Pelodiscus sinensis: one gene and its partners. The protein of the gene in region 2 interacts with the protein of the main gene of each other region in a pairwise test. Links are inferred from orthologs where the notes say so. Each region holds a gene or a part of one and is shown on either strand. Other genes may lie near its edges. The genes, in order: KANSL1, TFIP11, FAM13C and NFU1.

Region 1 (7,586 bases), on a different chromosome or scaffold from region 2:
CTCTTTAGGAAGTTCATTATCACGCTCCTCATACTTTTAATATCTTAAAAGAGGGGAAGACACAGAAAGCCATGTAACATCAAGACAAAGAAAAAAGATGTCTAAAGTCAAGTACATTTTCCTTAAAATTTTCCAATATAGGTGTGATTTGGAGTGAGGAGTCCCACATTTCCCTTTTAGATTAAAATGTTTCCTCAGATTAAAATTCCTCATGTTTGAAGACGCTACTAGTCAAGAATAAAACTAGGAGAAAGTGCAGAAATTGTTTATTGAACTTACAAGAAGAAATTAATAATAAAAAAACAAAAACAAAGGTCATGCTTAATTCATTATCATCCTGCCTCTGGGAACGTCCATATTTTCTTCCTCTCGGCACAGGTTCAGAAGAGTAATTGTATGGATTCTAGCCTTTAGTTTATATCTCCATGGAGCTTGTATAGGTGGGTGAGATTTAGATCTTCTGTATTAAGGGCCCCAAGGATTTTGCCAAAGCCACCTTTGGACACCTTTGTCAGATGTTCTTTCCTACAGTATTAAAAATCAACACACTTGGAGCAGTTCTTAAAAAATTGTTTTGTAACAGCCATCTTCTTTTAAGATGCCTACACTGATGTAATCTACTTATTTGCTAGAGCTATAGTGTGCAATGTGATGCTCTGAAGACACCTGTGACTCCCACCCTGGAAAGCTGATGACTAGTTTTTCACACAAACAAATGATCACAGAGTTCCATGAATGAACTCCATGGATTGGGGTTGTCCACTCTATGGGTGAAATCTTGACCTCACTGAAGTTAGTGGGAGTTTTGCCATTGATTTAAGTGGGTCCAGGGTTTCCCCTTATACTTCAAATAGTCCAGTGATTCTGATCTCCTTAGAGGGACAGAACAGCACCAGTGTAATAGAATTCAGAGCAGTCTGAAAAATCCTGTCTACTGTGGATTCAAATCAACACATCCTTATTATGCTTATTATGATATACATAGAACAGTTCTGGCCTACTTCAACAAGCTGGAGTGTACCTAGTCCTCATGTCTCCACAGGAAAACTACTCCTACTCACTATGGCAAAGAATAATCTCTACTCAAGGAAGAATGGTTTTGCACAGAATCTAATTCAAATCCATACAGCTGAACTTAGTCACCCTTTTTAAAGATATCTAGAAGGTAAAAGTTGCTTTGTTACATGATTGCCACACTGCACTATCTTGACTTTTGGGGTTCCATCATTGCAAAGAGATCAGTGGATGCCCAAACCTTCTTCTGTGTTGCAGTCCAGTGGTGCTTCTGGCACAGCTCACCTTTCCTCAATTTAAAATGTTAAAAACATGACTCTTTTAGATGTGATCAAGCGGATAGAGCATGGAGCTAAAAACGAGGAACTGAGATCTAGTTCTACCATCAGCTCAGCTTGGATAAATCACTTATCCTTTCTTTGCTTCAGTTTCCCCAAATGGGGATATTTATACCTATCTCATAGCAGGGTCATGAGGTTTAACTCATTAACCCTGCTAATAGTTGAACAGTGCTTACAAAATGTAGAGTACTGAGTAATATTATTTAATCACTCTCAGGCCCTGGGTTAGACTCTTTCTACCATAATGCATGCTATAATAATTTGTCCATTTCTATGCAAAGAATATTAAGCATAAACAGAACTCAACATTGCACTGTGAAGTGCCTAAAATAAATCCGATTACTTAACAATTTAGCATTTTTAGTCTTACATTTCAGGAAGGGCTTCATACTTTAAAATGGTTGGCCTTCTTTGTCTTCTGATCCTGGGAGGGGAGGTAACAACTACTGGAAATGTAAAGACTTCTTGAAAGCTGAAAGTTTATCAGCTCAGTATGTGACTTATGCCTCAACTGAAAAATCTCTGAATAGAACTTACAACAGACCCACTTCACATGCGCTGAGAAACCAGCTTTTCATATCTGGGTTTCCCGGACATGGATTCTTGCTGAAATTGCCACAGCAGCAGTAACCACTCTTACTCCACTGACAATGAAAAAATGTACAATATAACAGGAAAAATTAAATAATGGTCTTGCCTTCTCTAGGAAAAAAAAGAGATGTGTGTTCTAATACTTGTTAGCATCCTGGTGTTGATGTAGCAAGCTGTAATTTTAACATGTAAGCAGGTCAAAGCAATCCCTAGGAAAAAGTCTATCAGGCTAATGAGTTAAAACTGCAAATTGTCTTGTCTGCATTAGGATTTTAACATGTTAAAAACCAGGAGCAGAAGTAACTTCCTAATTAAATATGTGCACTATACTGGACTTAATTGCTGAGGTGGCACGTACCACCTGCAGCTACACCTGGTGCCCTGGCACTGGAACTGTAATCCTGGCAGGTTGAGGAAGGAAGGCCCTTGTGGTTGTGGTTAGAGTTTCCTGGAAAACAAGCAAGCTGGCTCCATGCCCACACTACAGCAATGGCAGTGCTATGGGCATTGCTGTCACATCACCACTCAGGTTTCAGCTACTCTTGGTTTACGAGGCAGTGGGGTGTGATCATTGGAAAAAGATTATATCTGGGCCTCCAATGTGTGACAGATATGTTAGTGGACCATCCTTGTGGGGCTTTTGCACTTAACCTATTAACAATTGCCCTGTCTCAGCTAGTAGTTTGTTCAGGGGGACATGAAGCAAAATGCAGGACAATGTAGCACTTTAAAGACTAACAAGATGGTTTATTAGATGATGAGCTTTCGTGGGCCAGACCCACTTCCTCAGATCAAATAGTGGAAGAAAATAGTCACAACCATATATACCAAAGGATACAATTAAAAAAATGAACAAATATGAAAAGGACAAATCACATTGCAGAACAGGAGGGGGATGCGGGGGGGGGGGGGGAAGAAAGGAAGGTAAGTGTCTGTGAATTGATGATATTAGAGGTAGGGAGAGTGGGATGTTTGTGAGTTAATGGTATTAGAGGTGATAATTGGGGAAACTGTCTTGGTAATGGGTGAGATAGTTCAAATGTTTGTTAAGTCCTTGTTGGCAAGTGTCGAATTTTAACATGAATGACAGTTCAGAGGATTCCCTTTCAAGTGCAGATGTAAAAGGTCTTTGTAGCAGAATGCAGGTGGTCAAGTCATTGAGAGAGTGTCCTTTCTGGTTAAAATGGCAAGAAACTGTTTTCTCTTTGTGATCTTGTCTGATATCTGTTTTGTGGGCATTAATCCTTTGGCGAAGTGTCTGAGATGTTTGTCCAATGTACATAGCAGACGGACACTTTCGGCACATGATAGCATAGATTTCTATCACTATTCAGGGGGACAGTCTTTGGGAGAACTGCTAATAGATTGTGTGCCCACAACAGGAAAAGCAACTTTTGTTTTTCTTCTAAAACCAGCAGGGATATGATATTCAGGGATACCTTCACTGCAGGAATCCTCCTGCTTTTCCCTCTCCCTCTTTGGTGAGTTTCCTAGCTCAGAGCGGCGTGCTGCGACGTGACAGGCGCGCCCCAGCTTTTCCTTCCCCCTGTAGGCCCAGATGTGGTGTGATGGCATGTGCGGGTGTGTGTCAAAGCCTCTCTCAGCTTGGAGGCTGCAGAGGTCTTTTTGTGGTCCAGAGTGGTCCCCGTGCCCCTCAGAAGCAGAGATGCTGAGTGCAACAGGATGCCCTCTTTCTCACCATCCCTCTCCCTGACTCCCCCTGCCCATTTCACACAGTCTCCCCATTCCCAGGCTGTGTAGTTTGCCCCTTATCTCATTCAAGCATGAGGGTGAGTGAGTGGGGGGGGGGGGACTGATCCAGTGGATGGGCCCTGCCTGGCAGCCACATGCAGCCCTCCCCTTCCCTTAAACATCTCCGGGAAACACAAGCAGAGGCAGGGACAAGCCGAGACACCCGCATCAATCACCCCTCCCGCCCCGCCCCCTGACGCTGACAGACACCCCCTCCTCCAACCACACCGGCCCAGGCCCTCCCCACAGCCAATGAGAGGGGAGGAGGGAGGAAGATCCCCACTTCAAGGCTGGTTGAGCTGTGCAGGTAGGTGCTGGGATGTGGGAGCAGAGGCTGGAGCTGGTGCAATCGGGGGAGGAAAAAGGGGGAGCTGTGGAGGGCTGGGCGGGGGGGCACCTGGCCAGGGCAGGCCGAGGGGCTGCGGGGCAAGGCAGCGGGGGGGCTGTAGCCTTGCAAAGGCATGTTGCCGGGGAGAGGGAGCGTGTGGCTGGCAGAGGGACCGATCACCCCCTATGGTGCTGCCATAGACAACAGGCCAAGTAGTGCTAGGAGCCCCCGTCCTGCAACTTTGCACGAGGAGTCACTGGGGCTGGGGGCGAGGGTGGTGAGGGGAGGGTCAGAACTTTATTGGATCGGGCCGTGGAGTCGCCTGCCCTGCAGTGAGCACAGCCCCCTGTGACTCTTCCATGCAAGCAGAGAGGAGCGATTGCTCAGAGCTAATTCACCAGGCCAAGGCGGGGGGCGGGGGAAGAAGGAGGAATGGTTCTTGCACAGCCAGAAAGTGAGTTTGGGGGGGCGGTGGGGGACGGAGAGGTCGGGGGAGAGCAGGAACTTTGCAGCTAGACGTGAAACGCAAATAGACGGGGTGGGGGGGGGATCTGCAGCTGCTCAGTCACACACCACATTGGGGGGGGATATTTTGTGGCATTTTGCAACAATGGTGATGGCTAAACGAGCAGGCCAAATGCTGGGAGCTGCTGGGGCATCGGGCAGGGGGCATCCGCAGAGGGGGCCGGGAATGAGCTCTAACCTGGGCCAGCCGCATGCTGGGAGACACCCGGATCGTCTCCTCGCAGAGCGGATACACTGGAGGGGGCTCGGGGTGAGCGTCGTAATTTGGAGAGGGCTTCCAGTGCCTGCGCAAGGACACTTTATAACTCCCGAGCTGCAGCGAGATTGAGCCGTGGCTTGGAGTTTTCAGGCGAGTCATCGGTTGTGGCTTCTCAGGCGTTTGGGTTTTGTTTGTTTACTTGTGTTAAGGGAAACAAAATGACCACAGACATGCACGATCCCCAAGGCATGGACAGGAGCAAAAGAAGGCGAGGAGAGGCACTGGCACTAACATGGCAAAGGCGTCACAGAAGCAAACATGGCAAAGAGCCTGTAAAGACTTTAGCTATTCAGTTTTAGGAAATGGGATAGAAAATATTCTTAGATGTCTTCTATTTGTCCAGTCCTCCATTTTACCCAAACATTGAAAAAAATGGCATATTTGATACTCCCAAGGTGGGTTTTAGAATGATTTAAAACAAACAAAATCCTGGCAGAAATAACTCTATGACTTTTTTTTGTTATTGTAAATTATTCCCTTCCCCAGCCCCCAAAGACCTGATCCTGGAAAATAAATGTATTTCAGTGGGTGGCAGGCATTCATAAATGTGGCATAAAATTAAGTGATTGTGTAATTTCTCATGGAGGTGATTTCTTAAAAGAGAATTTTCATGAGAGCCTAAGGGAGTTAGGTGCTTAAATCCCAATCCTTTTTTTACATTCCTTTCATCTCTTTAACTGAATTATTTAATCTATATAGTGTGCAGATTTTTGTCTGCACTTTCCAACTATTTTGTCCTCCAGGAGTTTACAGAGGTGTGTCTATTTTTCCAGTTATTGTGATTCTTTACATAGTTTGTTTTGTGTGTTTGCTATATATTGTGCTTTTTTGGGTGAAGTTGGTGATAAAATGTCTACTTTCTAAATCCTGATTTTTTTTTTCTTAAGGCTAGTTGTATCATATATGTTTTGTTTGCAAGTTATATTTCTTTCCCTTGATTCTTTTTTTATTGTTGTTTTTTGTTATAGACAAAAGATTTCCACTTCTTGAAATCAGAAAGATTTGCGGAATTTGGTTGGATTTGGAAAGATTACAAGTCCTTCAGAACTCCATCCTGAGTCTTTTCTGAATTGCTCCAGACACTATGGATTTTATTAAGATGTCCTGCAAGGTAGGAACTTCTAGTTCTTCATTTTTAAACTGGTACCTTGTTTACAAACTTTTGTTCAATACAAAAATGCCTGAATTATGAAAAGCACCATGATAGTTGAGGTCTTTGTTTAGAATTCTGATGGTACCATTTATTCTCAGGAGAGGTTTAAAATCCAGGACCTCTTTAACACTTTCGTGAAACATAATTAACCAAAAAAGGAACTCCAGGAATACAGCTCAATACTGAAAGTGAACTTTTTAGGTTTGGGCTCTCTCTGAGGAAGAAAATTGGTGGTGTAAAATTGGAAAAAATACAATTAATTTCTGGAATTTTTATTTTTTTAAATATATATGAAACTTATTTTGAATTTGTATATGTATTTTAAGTGTGAATATAATATTAAAAAACCTATTCATTTATACTAATAACTATAATTTTAGGTGAGTATTTCAGGATCATTCAGCATGGTACCAGAAATGCTTTATCAGCTTTTGACACTGTCTCCTGATGTAGTGTACTTGGGAGGTCACTGTATGTTGTAAACAGGAGCGGCCCTAGACGAGCTGCCAGCAACTGGCGCCTTAGGCGAAACGTGCAATCGGCACCCCTGCCTCCAAAGCCCTCAACGGCCATTTATCTTGGCGCCCTAGGCGACTGCCTAGTACGCCTGTATTGACGGGCCGCCACTGGTTGTAAACTAGAAGTTGGGTAGTTCCTACTGAAAATGTGGGACCCAAGTAACTTCCTTAATATTTTAATCATTCACAGAATTGTTAGAAATTATTTTCCAGGGTGTAAATCAATTCAATCTGAAAGACTTTCTGGTCCTCTTTGTCAGGTTATCTGGAGATTTCCAAATGCATTAGAATTGTCACAGTAGCTCTATCCTGTCAGCGCCACTCTGACTGTATGAAGCTATAACCTGCTACTACCAACCGTATTGGTTTTTTTTGTGTGTGTTTTGTAAACACTTGATAGGGCTTGATGAGGTCAACACTTTATACAGAAGACAGAATATTGTGAGTACATTTGAAACATTTTAGAAATTATGAAGAAAAGGAGCACATTTACTGAGTCCCATCTAGTATATTTTAATGCAGTCCCCATCACTCCAGTTAGTGCAGGACAGATCCTCAAGGTATTTTGTCTAATACTTTGTCCAGCCTACTTTTAATTGACTCATTGAATAGAGCATTCACAGCTTCAGTCTGTCTAATCTCACCATTAAGAAACACTTTCTGATATTCTACTTCCCCCTCCCTTTTAGATTCATTCTACTGGTCCAAGGTTCCATTTTTGAATAACCCCCAAATAATGTATCTTTTCTTGTTGTGTACACCCCTGAAATGCTTGTATATGGCTGCCATATTCTCTTTGCTCTGTTTACGTGGATCCTAGTATTGTTACACGTGCTTATAATTTTGCATGCATCTGTCAGCATGGTTTAGTGTACTCAGCATTGGCATAGGAAATCTTCTAGTTACTATTTGTGGTGGATAAGTTATTTCAACTCTCTGTGCCTTGTTTTTTCCATCTCTAAAATTAGGATAATATTGATATGCCTGAACAAGGAGTTGAGGATTAGCTGATGTAGGTACGCTGATTTTGGGAGAAGCATTATATAAGTAGTAGTGATTATTACAATGTAGAATTGTATAGATTTGGCCAAGCTGTATGCATTTA
Region 2 (6,886 bases):
CCGAACCCCCCCCCCCGTGTCACCGCCTCGCGCCGGCCGAACCCCCCCCCCCGTGTCACCGCCTCGCGCCGGCCGAACCCCCCCCCCCGTGTCAGCGCCTCGCGCCGGCCGAACCCCCCCCCCGTGTCAGCGCCTCGCGCCGGCCCAACCCCCCCCCGTGTCAGCGCCTCGCGCCGGCCGAACCCCCCCCCCGTGTCACCGCCTCGCGCCGGCCGAACCCCCCCCCCCCGTGTCACCGCCTCGCGCCGGCCGAACCCCCCCCCCGTGTCAGCGCCTCGCGCCGGCCGAACCCCCCCCCCGTGTCAGCGCCTCGCGCCGGCCCAACCCCCCCCCCGTGTCAGCGCCTCGCGCCGGCCCAACCCCCCCCCCGTGTCACTGCCTCGCGCCGGCCGAACCCCCCCCCCGTATCACCGCCTCGCGCCGGCCCAACCCCCCCCCCGTATCACCGCCTCGCGCCGGCCGAGCCCCCCCCGTGTCACCGCCTCGCGCCGGCCGAACCCCCCCCCCGTGTCACCGCCTCGCGCCGGCCGAACCCCCCCCCGTGTCACCGCCTCGCGCCGGCCGAACCCCCCCCGTGTCACCGCCTCGCGCCGGCCGAACCCCCCCCCCGTGTCACCGCCTCGCGCCGGCCGAACCCCCCCCCCCCGTGTCACCGCCTCGCGCCGGCCGAACCCCCCCCCCGTGTCACCGCCTCGCGCCGGCCCAACCCCCCCGTGTCAGCGCCTCGCGCCGGCCCAACCCCCCCCCCGTGTCACCGCCTCGCGCCGGCCCAACCCCCCCCCGTGACACCGCCTCGCGCCGGCCCAACCCCCCCCCGTGTCACCGCCTCGCGCCGGCCCAACCCCCCCCGTGTCACCGCCTCGCGCCGGCCCAACCCCCCCCCCGTGTCACCGCCTCGCGCCGGCCCAACCCCCCCCCCGTGTCACCGCCTCGCGCCGGCCCAACCCCCCCCCCGTGTCAGCGCCTCGCGCCGGCCGAACCCCCCCCCGTGTCAGCGCCTCGCGCCGGCCGAACCCCCCCCCGTGTCAGCGCCTCGCGCCGGCCGAACCCCCCCCCCGTGTCAGCGCCTCGCGCCGGCCGAACCCCCCCCCGTGTCAGCGCCTCGCGCCGGCCCAACCCCCCCCCCGTGTCAGCGCCTCGCGCCGGCCCAACCCCCCCCCCCGTGTCACCGCCTCGCGCCGGCCAAACCCCCCCCCCCGTGTCACCGCCTCGCGCCGGCCAAACCCCCCCCGTGTCACCGCCTCGCGCCGGCCGAACCCCCCCCCCCGTGTCACCGCCTCGCGCCGGCCGAACCCCCCCCCCGTATCACTGCCTCGCGCCGGCCGAACCCCCCCCCGTGTCACCGCCTCGCGCCGGCCGAACCTCCCCCGTGTCACCGCCTCGCGCCGGCCGAACCCCCCCCCCCGTGTCACCGCCTCGCGCCGGCCGAACCCCCCCCGTGTCACCGCCTCGCGCCGGCCGAACCCCCCCCCGTGTCACCGCCTCGCGCCGGCCGAACCCCCCCCACCGTATCACCGCCTCGCGCCGGCCGAACCCCCCCCCCGTGTCACCGCCTCGCGCCGGCCGAACCCCCCCCCCGTGTCACCGCCTCGCGCCGGCCGAACCCCCCCCCGTGTCACCGCCTCGCGCCGGCCCAACCCCCCCGTGTCAGCGCCTCGCGCCGGCCCAACCCCCCCCCCGTGTCACCGCCTCGCGCCGGCCCAACCCCCCCCCGTGACACCGCCTCGCGCCGTCCTAACCCCCCCCCGTGTCACCGCCTCGCGCCGGCCCAACCCCCCCCCGTGTCACCCGCCTCGCGCCGGCCCAACCCCCCCCCCCCCGTGTCACCGCCTCGCGCCGGCCCAACCCCCCCCCCCGTGTCACCGCCTCGCGCCGGCCCAACCCCCCCCCCCGTGTCAGCGCCTCGCGCCGGCCGAACCCCCCCCCGTGTCAGCGCCTCGCGCCGGCCGAACCCCCCCCCCGTGTCAGCGCCTCGCGCCGGCCGAACCCCCCCCCCGTGTCAGCGCCTCGCGCCGGCCGAACCCCCCCCCGTGTCAGCGCCTCGCGCCGGCCGAACCCCCCCCCCCCGTGTCAGCGCCTCGCGCCGGCCGAACCCCCCCCCGTGTCAGCGCCTCGCGCCGGCCGAACCCCCCCCCCCCGTGTCAGCGCCTCGCGCCGGCCGAACCCCCCCCCCGTGTGAGCGCCTCGCGCCGGCCGAACTCCCCCCCCCCGTGTCAGCGCCTCGCGCCGGCCGAACCCCCCCCCCGTGTCACCGCCTCGCGCCGGCCGAACCCCCCCCCCGTGTCACCGCCTCGCGCCGGCCGAACCCCCCCCCCGTGTCAGCGCCTCGCGCCGGCCGAAACCCCCCCCCCGTGTCAGCGCCTCGCGCCGGCCGAACCCCCCCCCCCGTGTCAGCGCCTCGCGCCGGCCGAACCCCCCCCCCCCGTGTCAGCGCCTCGCGCCGGCCCAACCCCCCCCCCGTGTCACCGCCTCGCGCCGGCCAAACCCCCCCCCGTGTCACTGCCTCGCGCCGGCCAAACCCCCCCCGTGTCACCGCCTCGCGCCGGCCGAACCCCCCCCCGTGTCACTGCCTCGCGCCGGCCGAACCCCCCCCCCGTATCACTGCCTCGCGCCGGCCGAACCCCCCCCCGTGTCACCGCCTCGCGCCGGCCGAACCCCCCCCCCCGTGTCACCGCCTCGCGCCGGCCGAACCCCCCCCCCCGTGTCACCGCCTCGCGCCGGCCGAACCCCCCCCCCCGGTGTCACCCGCCTCGCGCCGGCCGAACCCCCCCCCCCCGTGTCACCGCCTCGCGCCGGCCGAACCCCCCCCCCGTGTCACCGCCTCGCGCCGGCCGAACCCCCCCCCCGTGTCACCGCCTCGCGCCGGCCGAACCCCCCCCCCGTGTCAGTGCCTCGCGCCGGCCGAACCCCCCCCCCGTGTCACCGCCTCGCGCCGGCCGAACCCCCCCCCGTGTCACCGCCTCGCGCCGGCCCAACCCCCCCGTGTCAGCGCCTCGCGCCGGCCCAACCCCCCCCCCGTGTCAGCGCCTCGCGCCGTCCTAACCCCCCCCCCGTGTCACCGCCTCGCGCCGGCCCAACCCCCCCCCGTGTCACCGCCTCGCGCCGGCCCAACCCCCCCCCGTGTCACCGCCTCGCGCCGGCCCAACCCCCCCCCCCGTGTCAGCGCCTCGCGCCGGCCAAACCCCCCCCCCCGTGTCAGCGCCTCGCGCCGGCCAAACCCCCCCCGTGTCAGCGCCTCGCGCCGGCCAAACCCCCCCCGTGTCAGCGCCTCGCGCCGGCCAAACCCCCCCCCCCCGTGTCAGCGCCTCGCGCCGGCCAAACCCCCCCCCCCCCGTGTCAGCGCCTCGCGCCGGCCAAACCCCCACCCCCCGTGTCACCGCCTCACGCCGGCCAAACCCCCCCCCCGTGTCACCGCCTCGCGCCGGCCTAACCTCCCCCCCCGTGTCACCGCCTCGCGCCGGCCGAACCCCCCCCCGTGTCACCGCCTCGCGCCGGCCCAACCCCCCCCCGTGTCACCGCCTCGCGCCGGCCGAACCCCCCCCCCGTGTCACCGCCTCGCGCCGGCCGAACCCCCCCCCCCCGTGTCACCGCCTCGCGCCGGCCGAACCCCCCCCCCCCCCGTGTCACCGCCTCGCGCCGGCCGAACCCCCCCCCCCCCGTGTCAGCGCCTCGCGCCGGCCCAACCCCCCCCCCCGTGTCACCGCCTCGCGCCGGCCCAACATCCCCCCCCCCCGTGTCAGCACCTCGCGGCGGCCGAACCCCGCCCCCCCGTGTCAGCGCCTCGCGCCCCCCCCGTGTCAGCGCCTCACGCCGGCCGAACCCCCCCTCGTGTCAGCCCCTCGCGCCGGCCGAACCCCCCCCCCCTTTCTCCATGTCACTGCCTTGTACCGTATGATTTCTCCACCCCAGTGTCACCTCCTTGCTTTGTCCAAGCTTCCTCCCTCCAGGTCACCAGCTAAGTACTCTTCACCCTGTTTTGGGCTTGCACTCACTGATTCATCCCCCCCACCATTCTTCCTGTCACTGCCTTATGCCAGCTGAGACCTCTCCCTCTCTCTCTCCCTCCCCCCATTTTGCTGCCTTGCCCTGGTGTGTCATGGCTGCCTGTGCTTTGTCTCACTTGCTCCTGTGTGCTACTGGCTGTGCCATGTCATCCCCTTCACACCTTGGTCCTTGTGTCACCCACCACCTCACTAGCCATGCCTCCTGCTCTCCTTACCTTCACACCCATCCCATGTCACCCTCTTGCACTGTCTATGCCCCCTACTTTTGTTGCCAGCCCTCTCTGGATCCACCCCCTGACCAGCTGCTTGCTCCAACTCTCCCAGGCCATCATGTCAATGTCCCATCTCTATGGCAAAGATGACGACGACGACGTGGAGATGGAGAACTTTGAAATCACAGACTGGGACCTGCAGAATGAGTTCAACCCCAACCGCCAGCGCCACTGGCAGACAAAGGAGGAGGCCACCTATGGCGTGTGGGCTGAGCATGACTCGGATGATGAGAGGCCCAGCTTTGGAGGCAAACGGTACAGGCAGTTACCAGTGTCTTGCAAACTCTGGCAGTACTGTGAACAGCAAGAATCTTCTGTTAGTGGTTAGCATAGCCGATAAGCTAAAATAATAGTCCAAAGGAGATATCAGTTCCTTTATGTAGCACTATTGGATTTTTCACTTTCTGGAGGTTTTCTTTTCTCTGTCCATTTGCAAAGAACTACTGGGGAGATGCCTTTATACATTCTATAGAATATTTGATTATGTAAGTTTTTCTGACACTAACTCAGTCACTTGATGTATAGTGCTAGCTTCAAAAGGCTTAGTCTCTTGGAAACACTTTGTGCTACTGTGGCCAATTTGAGATTGTAATGGCTTTGAAAGGTATCTGTGGGAGCAGTGAGGGGTTACTATTTAGTTCAGCATGTTATCAAATAGATTGAATTTTTCATGTATAGTTTGGTTCCGAGATTCATTTCCTTATTGCCAAGTTCATGAAGAAGATCAACATTGTGCTAAGTTACAACTCATTAGAGAGTCTTGCATGCACATGCAAAACCAACACTTTCTATGACTGAAATACAAAAGTTTGAATTTAACAGCTTTTAAATGTTATTTCTTAACATTGCGTTTATTTTGGGACCAGTAATGATTGCATTAAGGTGTCTGAGTGTATGCATTTCAAGTTCAAATTCAATGGAACAGTGGAACAATAGCATGACTCTGAAATCCCTTTTTTGTGTAGCTCTCGTGACTATTCCGCCCCCGTTAACTTCATCAGTGCGGGGCTAAGGAAAGCTGCAGCTGAGGAAGTGATAGAAGAAGATTCAGATGAAGATGAGAAGCCCATTAAGCAAGAAGAACTCCCTAAAGAGTTTGTACCAAAGAAGTTAAAAACAGTGAGTTACTCATGAAAGTTTGAAACTTATAACAATTATTTATGGAGTGCCAACCACAGTATGGTCTAGATACTGCTTTAGTAACACATCAGCTGAGAAGGGAGGACAGTGGCTGAGTAAGATCACAGAACTGTTTGTGACACTGGTTTGCCGTGGGGGGAAAGAATATCCCTTGGCTTTTCTTTATGTGTTTTCATGGATTGTGTTAGGTTCTCGGGAGCTCATCTTTTCCCCAGGCCTCTTAAGCCTCTTCTCTTCATTGATAATCATTTTGAGTTGAATGAAGTTGAAGTAAATTAATGACCCAGTTTTGCTTCCACCCATCAATGATAAATATTTTTGTAATTATTTCTTTTTACAGTACTGAATGTGGCTGGCATGAGCAAATTGCCAATTAAATGGATTAAGAATCAAAACCCATTTTTCAACTGTTGAAAAGCAAAATATCAGGAACCAACTTGTATCTGCTCATGATAGTGTGTTATAGATCAGACCATAATAGGAGCAGGGCTACAAATCCCCAACTCTAGCAGTGGCTTGGGGGTGCTCTGACAGAGCAGCGCAGACTGCAGGCTGGTGGGGCTCCTCAGAGGAGATCCCCTCTTGAGGCAGCCAGGAGCTTGGTGATTATATCACTTACCTGTTGTTTTTTCTTTTCTCTGAACAGGGTGGCAATTTCAAACCCAGCCAGAAAGGATTTGTAGGTGGGACCAAATCTTTCATGGACTTTGGCAGCTGGGAGAGACACACCAAAGGAATAGGGCAGAAGCTTCTTCAGAAAATGGGTTATGTTCCTGGTAGAGGGCTTGGAAAGAATGCTCAAGGTACTGTGTGTTTTCCCCAAGAGTGTGGGTCCAAGATGGGGATTCTTTAAGGAAACTGCAACCTTGAGACACTGAATAACTTGGTTTTGTTTTCCCACCTCTTCTTCAGCCAATTCAGATCTTCAAGATTAAATCCAATTATATTAGTTTTAAATAATTACAGCAGTAATTAGAATGAAATTGTGAAGTCTACTACCCATGTCAGTCTCTGATTATTTAGTATGAGGAGACAGAAGGAGGAAGATTAAATTAACTCACTGTCAGGGTGGTTAAATACTGGATTAAATTTCTTACGGAGGTTGTGGAATCTCCATCACCAAAGGTATTTAAGAGTAGGATAAATAGGCATCTGTCAGGGACAATTTAGATGGTGTTTGGTCCTGTCATGAGGGCAGGGGACTGGATTTTATAACCTCTTGAGATCCATTCCAATTTTAGCATTCTATGATTAAAAGACAGTCAACTTGTAACCAAAGGAAATGCTATTTTGTGCAGTGTATTGCTGAGCTATAGAATTCATTGGAGTCGGAGGTCAGAGGAACATGCTATAACAGGATTTTTAAAAGTACCTGAATATATTAGGGCCACATATAAAAATGTGTAACTGTACAAAATCCTATCACTGCTGAAGACAGAATGCCAGACTGGATGATCTGTGCTACTCAGA
Region 3 (6,842 bases), on a different chromosome or scaffold from region 2:
GTTCTAGATCTTTTTAATCATTTCTCGAACTTGTCCAAGTTTTTCTCGTGGGCTACATCTAGACTGGCCCCTTCTCCAGAAGAGGCATGCAAAGCAGGCAAGTCAGAATAGGGAAATCCGCGGGGGATTTAAATATCCCCCAAGGGATTTAAATAAACATGGCCACCGCTTTTTTTCCGGCTTGGGGAAAAGCCGGAAAAGAGCGTCTAGACTGGCACGATCCTCCGGAATAAAGCCCTTTTCCGGAGGATCTCTTATTCCTACTTGCAAGGAATGTTTATTTAAATCCCTCGGGGGATATTTAAATCCCCCGCGGATTTCCCTATTCTGACTTGCCTGCTTTGCATGCCTCTTCCGGAGAAGGAGCCAGTCTAGACGTAGCCAAGGTGTGTTTCCTAGACTGGACATAATACTCGAGTTAAGGCCTTGAATAGAGTGAAAAAAATACTTTTTATATCTTGCTTACAAACAGTTCTGCATCCCAGAACAGTGTGAGCTTTTTTTTGGCACATTGTTATTTTGTTGACTTATATTTACTTTGTGATCCACTAGAATCCCCAGGTTCTGCAGTACGTTTTTCTGGACAGTCATTTGCATTTGTATTTGTCTAATTGATTATTCCTTCTCAAGTGTAGTACTTTACATTTATCCTTATTGAATGTCATCCTATTTATTTCAGACCATTTCTCCAGTTTATCAGGATCAGTGTTTCTCAACCAGTGGTACGGGTACCCTTAGAGGTACTCAAGAGAAGTCGGGGGAGGAGAGGGGGCGGAGGGATACATGAAAACAACTGAAATTTTGAGAAAACTGAATTTTTGTTTTAAGTTGTACAGCACTTTATTATTTTTGTACTTTTTATTCCCAAAAATTTCATCGCCTGCCCAGCTACAATTAAGTGGTATAAACAAATGTGTTGCAATGGTGGAAAAAAAATTGTGTGTGTCTGAAAACTGTAGGTATTGGGGGTATTTATTTATGATTTATTTTGTAAAAAGGGTACTTTATAAAAAAAAAGGTTGAGAAACATTGGTCAAGATCATTTTGAATTATAATCCCATCTTTGAAAACATTTGCAACCCCTACCAGCTTGGTATCCTCCAGAAAGTTTGAACACATACTTTTTATGCCACTATCTGAATCATTTCTGAAGATATTGCATACAATTGGACCCAAGACAGATCACTATCAGAGCACACTTGATATGCCCTTCCAGCTTGACTGTGAACCATTGATAATTGCTCTCTGCGTATCGTTTTCCAACCAGTTGTGCACCCACTTTATAGCATGTCTTCTCTTCTGTGTATTTATTAATGTGGCTCTGTTTTAAACAAAACAATGCCAAATTATTTTTACAGTACTGCTTTTGGCATGGAGAGTCTGTCCAGAAACAGTGACTAAAAGTATCATCAGCCAAAAAAAAAAATGAAATTAAGCATGCAAATGAGTCATAAACAAATGAAAAATAGAAAGTGATTTAATCATAGGCGTTTGACATTAACATTAACATGATTAATTTAAACAGTTTGATGGTGCCTTTCAAGACATGGATTTTCCCCCTCCTAATTCCTGTGAATACTATGCTTCTTGGCTACATCTACACTGGCCCCTAATTCCGGAAAAGTCATGCAAAGCAGGTAAGTCAGAATAGGGAAATCCGCGAGGGATTTAAATATCCCCCGCGGATTTAAATAAACATGTCCGCCACTTTTTTTCCGGCTTGGGGAAAAGCCGGAAAAAAGCATCTAGACTGGCGCGATCCTCCGGAATAAAGCCCTTTTCCGGAGGATCTCTTATTCCTACTTTCAAGTAGGAGGGATACTTTCAAGTAGGAATAAGAGATCCTCCGGAAAAGGGCTTTATTCCGGAGGATCGCGCCAGTCTAGATGCTTTTTTCCGGCTTTTCCCAAAGCCGGAAAAAAAGCGGCGGACATGTTTATTTAAATCCCTTGGGGGATATTTAAATCCCCCGCGGATTTCCCTATTCTGACTTACCTGCTTTGCATGACTTTCCGGAATTAGGGGCCAGTGTAGACGTAGCCCTTGTGAATATTGCTCAGAGCTCCATATTAAGGCCAAATTCTACCCTAAATAGTAGCATTTTATTTCAGTGGATTTACAGAGATTGTGAAGTAGCCAGCAATCATCCTCATGCGTGTGTAAGAATGCAGAGGTTATTCTTACCAGACCATTCTGTGCTCATTCTCTCAAGTTATAAGACATTTTCAGCATGTATGAGAAGTACTTTGATCTGATTTTTCAGCTCACCCAAGGCTTTTCTCTTATTGATGCAACATGGTGTCCATTAAGTAATGGCTCCCCTATTGAATTATGGTTCAAATACCAGCAGTACTGTCAGCACCAAGGCAAAAATCAAGAGTCAAGCCTCCAAACACCAACAGATTAGCCTGAGAATTGGGATTATTTATTTTAAATTAGATTTTTAAAATATTGCATTTTATTTTTTTTATTTGCCTTTTGCGACTCAGTTTGGCATCTTACAGCACTAGCTTAAGGACACAGTTGCTTCACATTTTCAAACTTTTCTCTAGAAACAAGTGGCCTAGAAACCAACTTTAAAAAAATTAAAGCTGAGACCCTTTTGCAACTCCTTAATTCCAATATCTGGGGTCCTTAAGAAAACATCCAAATGCCATGAGCCTTGTGATTTAATCATGAGTCATAACACTTTAGTGATTAGTCATCGAAGGCCATGTCTGCATTGTAGACTTCAGTCAACACAAGTTATAGTGACATATAGCCCCAGTTAGTTTATCACTTGAGCTCACGCATACTTGGTTCCTTGAACTGGCACTATGTACTCTCCAAGCCCTGGTCTACACTAGCGCTTTATTTCAAAATAACACCCCCTTCTGTTGAATTTATAAATGGACCATCCACCCTACCAAGCCTGTAATTTCAAAAATTGTGTTATTGCTTATTTCAAAGTCTGCAGTCCTGCTTTCCTCAGGAATAATGCTAATTTCAAAATAGTTATTTCAAAATAGTGGTAGTGTGAACACTCTGGTGCCACTATTTTGAAATAACTACTCCCCAGGGTAATTCAAACTAATTACTCGCCAGTGGTTCCTGGGCTCCAAGTCAAGGTAGTATGTCCTCATTAATGGTGCCTGCCTCAGACTAATTTTGAGGCTTCTCTGTAGTGGAGACAAGCTATTTTGATTTTGTAAAATTTGGAGTTAAGTTGAATTTAGTTATTTAAAAATAGTTTCTTAGTGTACACATGTCCCAAGAGTGCTTGTGTCGATGCAGAGCAGATACAATGGTAAGTATTCCCATGTGCAAGCTGCCAGCTCACTGTCTTTTAGGAATTTTTGGTAATGCCTAGGGATGGATATGAGGAGGGGGAAGAAATGAACCATGAGAAGTGATTGGGAGTAAGCAGTCAACTTTCCAGCATGCAGTTGTACCCATCCTATAATGTCAGTTCTATTACATAATTTTAAAAAAATCCTAGGAACCCCCTTGCTATCTGCCATCAGTACTAGAAACATCTAGCCTGAACATCTTTGCCCTACTGTGGAAAAAGTTGCAAACACAGAATGCATAATCCTCCATTATTTGCAGTGCAGTAGGAAGAACAGAATCACCAGGGAACATGCTGATTTCTTGGAGTCCAGATTGCTGTGGGATGTAGTGACCAATTCAAGGTTATTGGTTGAGTGCATGGAACAGCTACAGATGATGGAGTACAGGTTCTGGAACTAAAAAATGAGCATTGATTGGTTGGATTGCATCATAATGCCGATTTGGGGTGACATGTAATAGCTATGGAACTTCTGGGTGCAGAGTCCACATTCCTGCAGCTGCGCAGTAGATCGAAGTTATCTGGATGTCAATAAGATATTTGATACAGTTCCACATGGGATATGATGAGTTAAATGAAAGAAAATGGGGATTAGTATGAAAATTGAAAGGTGGATAAGGAACTAGTTGAATGGGAGACTACAAAGGGTCATACTAAAAAAAGTGAAATGTCAGGCTAATGGAGTTCCTCAGGTCTCTATCTTGGGACAGGTCTTATTTAACATTTTCATTAATGATCTTGGTGTGAATGTGCACTAATAACATTTTCAGATGATACAATGTTATAGCTAGTATGATATAGTCAAGATCATGAAAATTGGAATTACATTTAATGATGTGTGTGAGGTCATGCACTTAGGTACTTATGACAAGAATTTTTGCTATAAACTTTTTTTTGCTATAAATTTTTGCTATTCCTACTTTCAAGTAGGAATAAGGGATCTTCCGGAAAAGGGCTTATTTTCCGGAAAATCGCGTCTACACTGGCTCTTTTCTCCGGCAAAAACCCCAAGCTGGAAAAAAGCAGCAGCCATAGAAATGCAAATGCCGCGGGGTATATTTAAATCCCCCGCGGATTTGCAATTCCGAAGTGTCTCAATAGCATCCCTTTTCCGGAAAGGGATGCCAATGTACACATAGCCCTAGTGAAATAGTTCTTCCTAATATCCAACCTGGACCTCTCCCACCACACCTTGAGACCATTGCTCCTTGTTCTGCCATCTTTTACTACTAGAACAGCCTTTCTCCATCATCTTTGGAACCTCCCTTCAGGAAGTTGAAGGCTGCTATCAAATCCCCCCTCACTCTTCACTTCTGTAGACTAAACAGACCCAAGTCCCTCAGCCTCTCCTCATAAGTCATATGCTCCAGCCCCCTAATCATTTTGGTTTCCCTCCGCTGGACCCTCTCCAATGCATCCACATTCTTTTTGTAGTGGGGGGCCCAGAAATGGACACAATACTCCAGATATGGCCTCACCAGAGCGGAATAAAGGGGAATAATGACATCTTTGGATATGCTGGCAATGCTCCTCTGAATGCAACTTAATATGCCATTAGCCTTCTTGGCTACAAGGGCACACTGTTGACTCATATCCAGCTTCTCATCCACTATAACCCCCAGGTCCTTTTCTGCAGAACTACTACTTAGCTGGTTGGTCCCAGCCTGTAACAATGCTTGGGATTCTTCTGTCCCAAGTGCAGGACTCTGTGCTTGTCCTTGTTGAACCTCATCAGATTTCTTGTGGCCCAATCCTCCAATTTGTCTAAGTCACTCTGGACCCTATCTCTCCCCCTAGCTTAGTGTCATCTGCAAACTTGCTGAGGGTGCAATCCATCCCCTCATCCAACTCATTAATAAAGATATTGAACAAAACCGGTCCTAGAACCAAACCTTGAGGCACTCCTGTAGAAACCGACCGCCATCCTGACATTGAGCCGTTGATCACTACCCACTGGGCCCGGCCTTCTAGCCAGCTTTCTATCCATCTTACCATCCATTTCTCCAATCCACATTCCCTTAACTTGCTGGCAAGAATATTGTGGGAGACCGTATCAAAAGCCTTGCTAAAGTCAAGATATATCACATCCACTGTGGACTTTCCCTTGTCCACAGAGCCAGTTACCTCATCATAGAAGCTAATCAGATTGGTCAGTAACAGTAGTTCGAATTAGGATCTTTAATTCGAACTACCTACTCCGTGCTGCGGGCACGGAGTTCGGACTAAGGGGGATTTAAAAATGACGGCGCCCGGGAACATGCAAATGAAGCCCGGGATATTTAAATCCCAGGCTTCATTTGCCACTCCGCTTGCTTAATTACCCTACCTAGCTCGAACTATCGAGCTAGTGTGGACGTAACCTCGGCGACATCACCTGCACAACCACCGGTCAAAGGGTGATGTCCTGGAATAGCCTTCTATGGGGAGCAGTGGGTTCACAAAGCCTAACTGGTTTCAAAGCTGCATCTGGGAAGTATGGAGAGGGGATGGTGTGATGAGATTGCCTGTAATGTCACATGGACTATCTGCAACTGCTGGTAGCAGATATCTCCCCAGTAGCCCGAGATGGGACACTAGACAGTGAAGCTCTGAGTTTATGAAGAGGATTCCTTTCCAGGTGTCTGGCTGCTGGGTCTCACCTCTACCCTCAAAGTCTAATTAATCACTTTGTATAAGGTCAGGAAGGAATTTTCACCCAGGTCAGATTAGAAGGGACCCTAGGTTTAATTTGCCTTCCTCCGGCACTGAGGCATGGGTCACTACTACTTTGAGCTGGTGTAAATAGTTGATTTTCTGTCATTTGAAGTCTTTAGAGCATTTTTTGAGGACTTCAGTAACTCAGCTAGAGGTCAGGCATTTATGGGTATGTCTACACTGCAGAGTTTTTTTGGAAAAACTTCACTTACGTCCATGCTGCAATCACATTCTTAAAAAAAATCAAAAGAACAGAGGGGTTTTTCCAACAAGAGCTCTTTTGGAAAAAGGCATGTGTGGATGAGGAAGAGAGAGTTCTTTTGAAAGAAGAGGAAAGAGGAAAAAATTTAAGTGTCCTGGTGGCCGCTCCATTGATAGTAATCACAGTTGAAATGTGGGATATAGTCCATTCAGTCTGGACACTCTCTTTCACTTTTTCGATGCGCTTTTGCGGTGTAGACGCTCTCTTTCAGAGGAATTTTTTCCGAAAGATCTCTTCCAGAAAAGCTTCTTCTGAAAGAAGCCTGCAATCTAGACAAAGCCTATGACAGGAGTGGGTGGGTGAGATTCTGTTGCCTGTGACATGCCAAATGTCAGATGAGATGATCACAATGGTTCCTTCTTCAAGTTTGAATCTACAGAACAGTATGCATAGTGTGAGTGAGCTCAGGAGAGACAAGAATAAGAGACAATGTCAATGTTGTCTGAGGGGAGGGGTATTCTAACTGCCTTGTCGTGGTGTGACTTTAGATTCACGCTAAGGATGCTTGAACTCTGCTCTTACACCATTCTAGCACAGGCTGCTTCAGTGGATAGGATG
Region 4 (6,833 bases), on a different chromosome or scaffold from region 2:
CCTGACTGTGGGTGATGTTCCTTGATAGAACTCACAATGCAACTAGGCAGTTTCAGTATTTTGGATATCAATAGGCTCCATTACTGGAATTGGTCTGAGGAAGACTAAATTTGGGGGTGAGCAGCATCTGGAGCAGAGATTTCCCATCAGGCAGTACTTCTCTGCTTTCGGTATCCCATAGTTCAGTGTGGTTCTTGCTTTGGAAGAGCTGGTCTGTACTCTGCATGCTAATGGAGATTTCTCTCTGTTCTATCTTCAATGCAGATGAGGCTGGGGTGTTTCCTTAATCCTATCACCCTTGTCTTGAGGGGTGAAGGTGTGTCTTCCCCTGTCTTTTCATTGCTTTGTCTTTGATTCAAGGACAGGCCTGGGGGAGGGGAATGTTTTCCCTGATTGTCACTCCCTGGTTCCCCAAGAACACAGAGCTGGTAGGTAACAATGGGCAAATGGAACTCTCTCCCTTGAAAGAAAGTCTGATGGGCAAAACATATTGGGTGCGTCTAGACTGGCAAGATTTTGCGCAAAAGCGGCCTCTTTTGCGCAAAAACTTGACAGCTGTTTACACTGGCCGCTTGAATTTGCGCAAGAGCACTGACTTTGTAATGTACAAAATCAGTGCTGCTTGCACAAATACTTTCACGCTCACACTCAGGAAAAATCCCTCTTGTGCAAGAAGACTTGCGCAAGAGGGCCAGTGTAGACAGAGAAGAACTGTTTTGCGTAAAATAGCCCCGACGGCTAAAATGGCAATCGGGGCTTTCTTGCGCAAATCGCGTCTAGACTGGCCACGGATGCTTTTGCACAAAAGCACGTTTTGCGCAAAAGCATCTTTGCCAATTTAGACGCGCTTTTGCAGAAATCCTTTTAACGGAAAAACTTTTCAGTTAAAAGTATTTCCGCAAAATCATGCCAGTCTGGATGCAGCCATTGATTTTTATGCCACTGAATTGCTGCTTTCTTCTCAACAATCTGAAATTGGAAAAACAGATGTGACCAACCTCACTCTAACTGCTATTCAGTTCTCAGGTGGCAGTGATACGGTATCTTTATAGGAGGCCAAGTTTTAGGGTAATTCCCTTTGAATTAATCACAGGTTTATAGAATACTAGCTGGAGTCACCCAGCGTTGCTCAGGAAACCAGAGGAACAAAATGTAGAAAAACAGTAGTCCATTATCTTTTTTGAATGGTAGAAAATTTGCATTGATTTCTATAGGGATTAAAATATAGGTCCACATCAGCCCGGAGGTGCGACCGCGGGTGGAAGGGAGGTTACACGTGCGAGGGGCGCCCCAGCTTGCACCCGGGGCTGCAGGTGCTGGGGGGGGGGGGGGCAGGGCAGGTGCCCAAGCCATCGTGCACGTGAGGGTTGGGGAACTGCCTGCTGGCTCAAAGGTGGGGAGGGGGAACAAGGGTCGCTTACGTAACCTCGCAGGCAGGAAGGGGCAAGTCCTGGATGGTGCTGGGAGCCGCAGGCGGCGGGCACAGGACCTAGGGTGGGTGGGGCAGCGCCTGCAGCACAGCACGGCAGGTTACTTTTTGATTTTTACAGCTTGAGCTCGGGCCTGCTCGGGTCCAAAAGTACCTTGAAACCTTCTTCTGGATGAAAGGTTCTCCCATGCAAAGTTTGGTTGCAGTAGCTCTTGTAGTGTCCAAGCTGTTAGTGCACAAACTTACATTCTCTTTTATACATTAGATGTGCTGATCTTGGTGAGATTATTTAGGATTCAAATGCTCCCCCTGAATGACTTTCTTCCTTATTCAGCAGCATAGCTGTACACCATGCTTCCCAGTAGGTGACATCTGCACAGCAGAGAACCTCTGTGTCAAAGGCTGTGTAATGTAAATGAATGAGTTAGTGCAATACAGTATTTTCAGACCAAATAAGTCTCTAGCAAACTAGCTGGAAGAGAGTCTAGTTAGCCAAATTCTTCATCAGATTTGTGCAACACTTCTATTCAGATGAGCTACCTGCCCCTTTGTAATCTGAGCAGTTAGCCAAAATTCAGAGCCCTGCAGATTGTTTCCATTAGGAGAAGAAATTAATGACGGAATCCGGTAACTCTGTGTTTCTGTTTATTTACAAAGAGTGTACAAAGTTCTGTTCGCCAGAACTCAAAAGGAATCAAACAGTGGGAGGCAGTTTCTTCACTAGTAGAGCCAATCCTCTTTCAGCCAGCACTCAGCCCAAAAATCCTCTCTGTCACTGTTTGTGTAGGCCTATGCTTCCTTGCTGCCTTCCTGCAGGCGTCTTTCGGAATAAGCTTTTTTTGGAAGAGATCTTCCAGAAAACCTTCCTCCAAAAGAGTGTCCACATTGAAAAAGCAATCTTCTTTTTTGAAAGATAGCGTCCATTCAGTGTGGACGCTATCTCACATTTCAGCTGTGATTACTTTGGACAGAGTGGCCACCTGGGCATCTGTGTTTTTTTCTTTTTCCTCTTCTTTCAAAAGAACTCCCTCTTTCCCATCCACACATGCCTTTTTCTGAAAGAGCTCTTTCAGAAAAAAGGCTTCTTCCTTGTAGAATGAGGATTGCTAATGTTGGAAAAAACCCTCTGTTCTTTTGATTTTATTTCAGAAGAACACGATTGCAGTGGGGACGTAATTGAAGTTTTTTGGAAAAATTACAATTTTTTCTGAAAAAAACCCTCTGTAGTGTAGACATACCCAAAGTCTCTGTTCTTTCTGCGGTTTCATGCACACAGCTCTTCACAGAACAAGTAAGCCCCAAACACCTTGGTGTTGACAGCTGTTGTCATTTTTCTTAGACGGGAGGTCTGTGCTGGTGGGCAAAGATTGTATTTTTGATTGTGGAGCTCAATGGGAGTGAGTTCTGCACTGCATATGCTCAGGCAGGTAACTGTTTTTATCTGTGTTTAAGTGATGACTCTGAAATACAGAGGTGAAGAACTGCACTTTTTACAATGGCTGCTGATCATATTGAGACAAAATATGTTGTCAAGCACAAGGGCTAGATCTCTCAAACCAACACTGCATTTGACCTCCCCTCAGCACAGCAGGACCCCTGTTCCTAGTTAGGTTCTGTGGCTAGTATTGTAACAGAAATAATGAATACCCTGGTCAGCACGAGTTGGGATTTGGTTCTTTCAAAGCCTAAGATTGTGGGAGGATGGGACTACCTAAATTCACAGTTTTAATTACAAAATACAGTAAATTTCAAACTCTCACCTCACCAGGGCTGGCAAAGTATAAAGTAAAAAAGAAAAACTAGAAGGCAAATAAAAGCAGCTGCATAGTATTTTTGTATTTTTTTGAAATCTCACTATTTTTCAGTTCCAACATTATGATTTTGCGGGGGGGGGGGGCAAAGGGCTGGATTTTGAACACTTAATGTTGGAAATATTGCAAATAACAGTTTTGCACCCTGAACAGTAAAGGTTTTGTTCCAAGCTGTTACCTCAGCATATACAATCCTGCTAGTTTGTGACAGGCGGAGGTCTCGCAACACGTAGGTAGCTTGGTGCTGCCTGTGGGGGTGGGCAGAGGTCGGGTTTTTGCAGAGGGTATGGGGGGAGGGTGTGCCATTTCAGAGCTGCAAGTAAAAGCGGGATGAGCCCGAGGCCATGCAGCAGCACAAGGAAGGCCAGGGCAGGTCCCAGGGGCACTGTGGGGCCCCTCACTCCATGGCCTGCTGGGGTCTCTTCCGACCCTGCTCTATGCAATGGGCTGGACCGATGCGGCTCCCCCAGGCCCCTGCCCCAAATCCCATCCCCGTCTCCGCCGCTAGGGCGGGCCACGCGCCCCGGGTCCCCAGCGCAGCGCTCGCTGCACTTCCCCGCCGCGGCCACGAGGGGCCGCCCCAGCGCCTGCGCCTCCTTCCCAAACCAGGCGCCTGCGCAGGCAGCCCCGCGACTGGGGGGGGGGGGGGGTTCTCAGCCTCAGTCGCTGCGGGGCATCCAAGATGGCGGCGGGCCGCTGGCTGCGAGCGGCGGCGGGGCTGAGCGGCCGGTAGGTGACCCCGGCCCAGGCGCGCGCTCGCCTCAGCGAAGCCCCGCCCTGCGGGGCGGCGAGCTCCTCTTCCCGGGGGGGGGGGGGGTACGGGGGGGCAGGTGGTTAAGTCCCCTTCTCCCTCCCCCCCCCGCGGGCACGGGGGGGCAGATTAACTCCCCTCACTCCCCCTCCCCAGGTCGCGCAGGGGGCGGGGTTAACGTCCCCTCCCCCGCAGGCTGGGCACGGGGGGCGTCAGGGATTAACCCCCCAGGCCGGGTGGGGGCTGACCCCGCTCTCCCCCGGGGGGGGTTGGCAGTTAACCCCCCCCCCCCCGTGCAGCGCGAAGGCGGGAGACTCGCTCGCCCCAAGGGCTCCTCTGGCCTCACAAGCAAATTCCTGCGAGCTGCCCCGCCTGCCACGAGGCGCTTTGTTCTTTGTACCTCCTGGTGCTGAGGAGCCTGGGGGGCCGGGACCCTGCGGTGCGAGGCGAGGTGCCCTTGTCTGCTGGGTGGGGGAGGGACATGGGGCTCGGTTCTCTTGTCAGTTCCTCCAGCACAGGCAGAGAGGAAGGATGCATCGGGGAGGAAGGTGAAACCATAAGCAGCTGGATGTAGTTGTCTACTCACCCGACTTTGTGCTTGTGAGCCATGAGCATTGCTAAAACTGGGGGCGGTTGCCACCCACCCTTAATATTAAATCCTAAAGTACCTTAAAGACATCTGGGATTCCCTCATCATTCATGCTCTTCCCCATTGTATGGGGAAAGGGATGCAACAGGTCACCTTATGCTTCCGACCTTGGGCTATGTCTACACTGCAGGCTTTTTGCACAAGAACATATGTTCTGTGTGCGTGTTCTTGCACAAGTAAATTTACAGTAAAGCATCAGAAAATAGGGCTTCTTGTGCAAGTGTTATTCCTCTCCCCATGAAGAATAAACTCTCTTGTGCAAGAGCAATTGCTCAAGAAGGCAGTGTGGATGGGCAACAGGGTTTTTTTTTTGCTCAAGAAACCCCTATGAATAAACTGGCCATCAGAGCTTTCTTGTGCAAGAGAGCATCCGCACTGCCATGGACGCTCTTGCACTAAAGCACATGGCACTGTGAATGCGCTCTTGCGCAAGAATTTTTGGGCAGAAACTCCTGCACAAAATAGTTCGTGCGCAAAAAGCCTGCAGTGAAAACGTAGCTGTGATGTATAGTGCTCTGTTTGAGTGAGACACCTAATGAGAATGAACTGTGGGCTGCTGCACTAAGCACTGGGTTTATACGTTCCCAAGTGAACTATCCCAGAAAATCTGAATAGGCAGCAACTTCTACATTTCTGCAATAAGAAAAGTTTTAAAAGGACTGTTACACTCACATTTCTCCCAATTGCTTACATTTTGTATTCAAATGTCTGCAACGACTGTTAAGATTCTGAAAGCAAAATTGACTATAAATGTGGGACTAATTTCATTATTTTCATTGTCTAAACCAGTAGGGAGTGAAGCAAAGACTAAGCTGTATAAAGAAATATAGATTAGATCTTAAAATATTTTTGCTGTCATTATTGAACGTGTTTATTAGTAACAATAAACATGACTATCAATATAGATAAGTATGACATTGCAGATCATTGGAAGTTAGAAGTCTTAGCTTAGATTTTCAAATTATGGATATTTTCATTAAGGATATTAAGATGCAGATGATTCATGTAGTAAATACAATTTGTATCAACTACAATCCATGATTAGTCATAAGGGAAGGCACTCTGTCCCACCTTGCGCCAGGTCCAGGAGCTACCCCCTGCAGTTTAAATGTACTAGGAGCTGGCTGCAAACACAGACACCCCACTGGAACCTCACCACGAACAGAGGCAACAGAGGCTGCTTCATAGACTGTAGAGCAGCCTCTGCTCACAGTGAGCCTGCTTCATTGTAGCCTCCCCAATCCCCCTGCCTGGCAGCAGCACGTGGGCGGTGGGGGAATGACTGGCAGCACAATGGAGACAGTGCTAGGTGGAAACAGCTTTTAAGCCAGTTCCCCCCAATACCATCTCCTGTTTTTCCTCGCTTGCTGCCTCTGATACAGGCAGCAAGTGGAGGGGGGAATGTGAGTGGTCGACTCAACTACCTGATAAACCTAGGTTTATCGGGTAATCGACTACTTGACTGGTCGCTTTCATCCCTAATTTTTATGCCAAGTTTGTGCATGTGATTATAGTGGCAGTGCACAAAATAGGAATTTGCATATAAAAATGAACAGTTGTATGGGTAAAAAAACAAGGACACACATAACAATGGTAATCAGATGTGCAGATATGCAATTCAACAGTTTGAAAATCAGTTTAATTCAGCTTTCCATCTCTTCAGGTTTGTCCTTTCCAGTATATTCTTCACCATTTTCTTCACTTAAGATCTGTGCGTCTCAACAGATGGTTGGTGTAGTTTACCTGACCAGCAAAGACAAGAATTTTTTGTTATAGCTTATCTCCAGGGACTGGATATGAATATCTCTATTGGTACCTTGCTTCTTGAATTAGTACATGTAGCCAGTGAAGCTGCTGTCCTTTCTCCACAGCAGTCCACCACTCGCCACTGGTGAATTTTAAATCAAAATGTTTGCTGTGTGATGATCACTTGGCCACTTAGAAATCTAGGGAGCAGGAATTGAAACCCCATTTTCCCTTTTCCCCCAACATCTAGTTGAGAGGAGGGGAAAATAAGACTGTGGCTGACAGTCTGTGTTACCTGATCTCCTCCTTAAGGTGAAATCTAGCGATATTAAATGTGTGAAATTTTCAATTGAGATGATGTTGGTAAAATCTGTGTCTTTCTTTAGGTTCTCTTGCATGACATTAAAAGACTTTAACTTGACAACTAAACAGCCTCTCTGCCATTTC

What was found.
Region 1: the proteins of TFIP11 (region 2) and KANSL1 interact in binary tests that used the Homo sapiens proteins (3 or more experiments, as listed by UniProt). The two-hybrid records come from large-scale screens. The link is inferred for Pelodiscus sinensis from reciprocal best matches to the Homo sapiens genes TFIP11 and KANSL1.
Region 3: the proteins of TFIP11 (region 2) and FAM13C interact in binary tests that used the Homo sapiens proteins (3 or more experiments, as listed by UniProt). The two-hybrid records come from large-scale screens. The link is inferred for Pelodiscus sinensis from reciprocal best matches to the Homo sapiens genes TFIP11 and FAM13C.
Region 4: the proteins of TFIP11 (region 2) and NFU1 interact in binary tests that used the Homo sapiens proteins (3 or more experiments, as listed by UniProt). The two-hybrid records come from large-scale screens. The link is inferred for Pelodiscus sinensis from reciprocal best matches to the Homo sapiens genes TFIP11 and NFU1.

The regions. Positions count from the first base shown.
Region 1 is NC_134739.1:6,915,748-6,923,333, forward strand, and holds the start of KANSL1 (KAT8 regulatory NSL complex subunit 1), read left to right. Parts: upstream 1-4,575; 5' UTR 4,576-4,900; intron 4,901-5,778; 5' UTR 5,779-5,921; intron 5,922-7,586. UniProt on the Homo sapiens protein: Non-catalytic component of the NSL histone acetyltransferase complex, a multiprotein complex that mediates histone H4 acetylation at 'Lys-5'- and 'Lys-8' (H4K5ac and H4K8ac) at transcription start sites and promotes transcription initiation.
Region 2 is NC_134725.1:39,273,703-39,280,588, reverse strand, and holds the start of TFIP11 (tuftelin-interacting protein 11), read left to right. Parts: upstream 1-3,866; 5' UTR 3,867-4,199; coding exon 4,200-4,531; intron 4,532-5,241; coding exon 5,242-5,395; intron 5,396-6,062; coding exon 6,063-6,219; intron 6,220-6,886. UniProt on the Homo sapiens protein: Involved in pre-mRNA splicing, specifically in spliceosome disassembly during late-stage splicing events. Intron turnover seems to proceed through reactions in two lariat-intron associated complexes termed Intron Large (IL) and Intron Small (IS).
Region 3 is NC_134718.1:21,958,223-21,965,064, reverse strand, and holds the start of FAM13C (protein FAM13C), read left to right. Parts: upstream 1-3,834; 5' UTR 3,835-3,912; coding exon 3,913-3,938; intron 3,939-6,842.
Region 4 is NC_134738.1:1,379,999-1,386,831, reverse strand, and holds the start of NFU1 (NFU1 iron-sulfur cluster scaffold homolog, mitochondrial), read left to right. Parts: upstream 1-3,817; 5' UTR 3,818-3,922; coding exon 3,923-3,969; intron 3,970-6,772; coding exon 6,773-6,833. UniProt on the Homo sapiens protein: Iron-sulfur cluster scaffold protein which can assemble [4Fe-4S] clusters and deliver them to target proteins.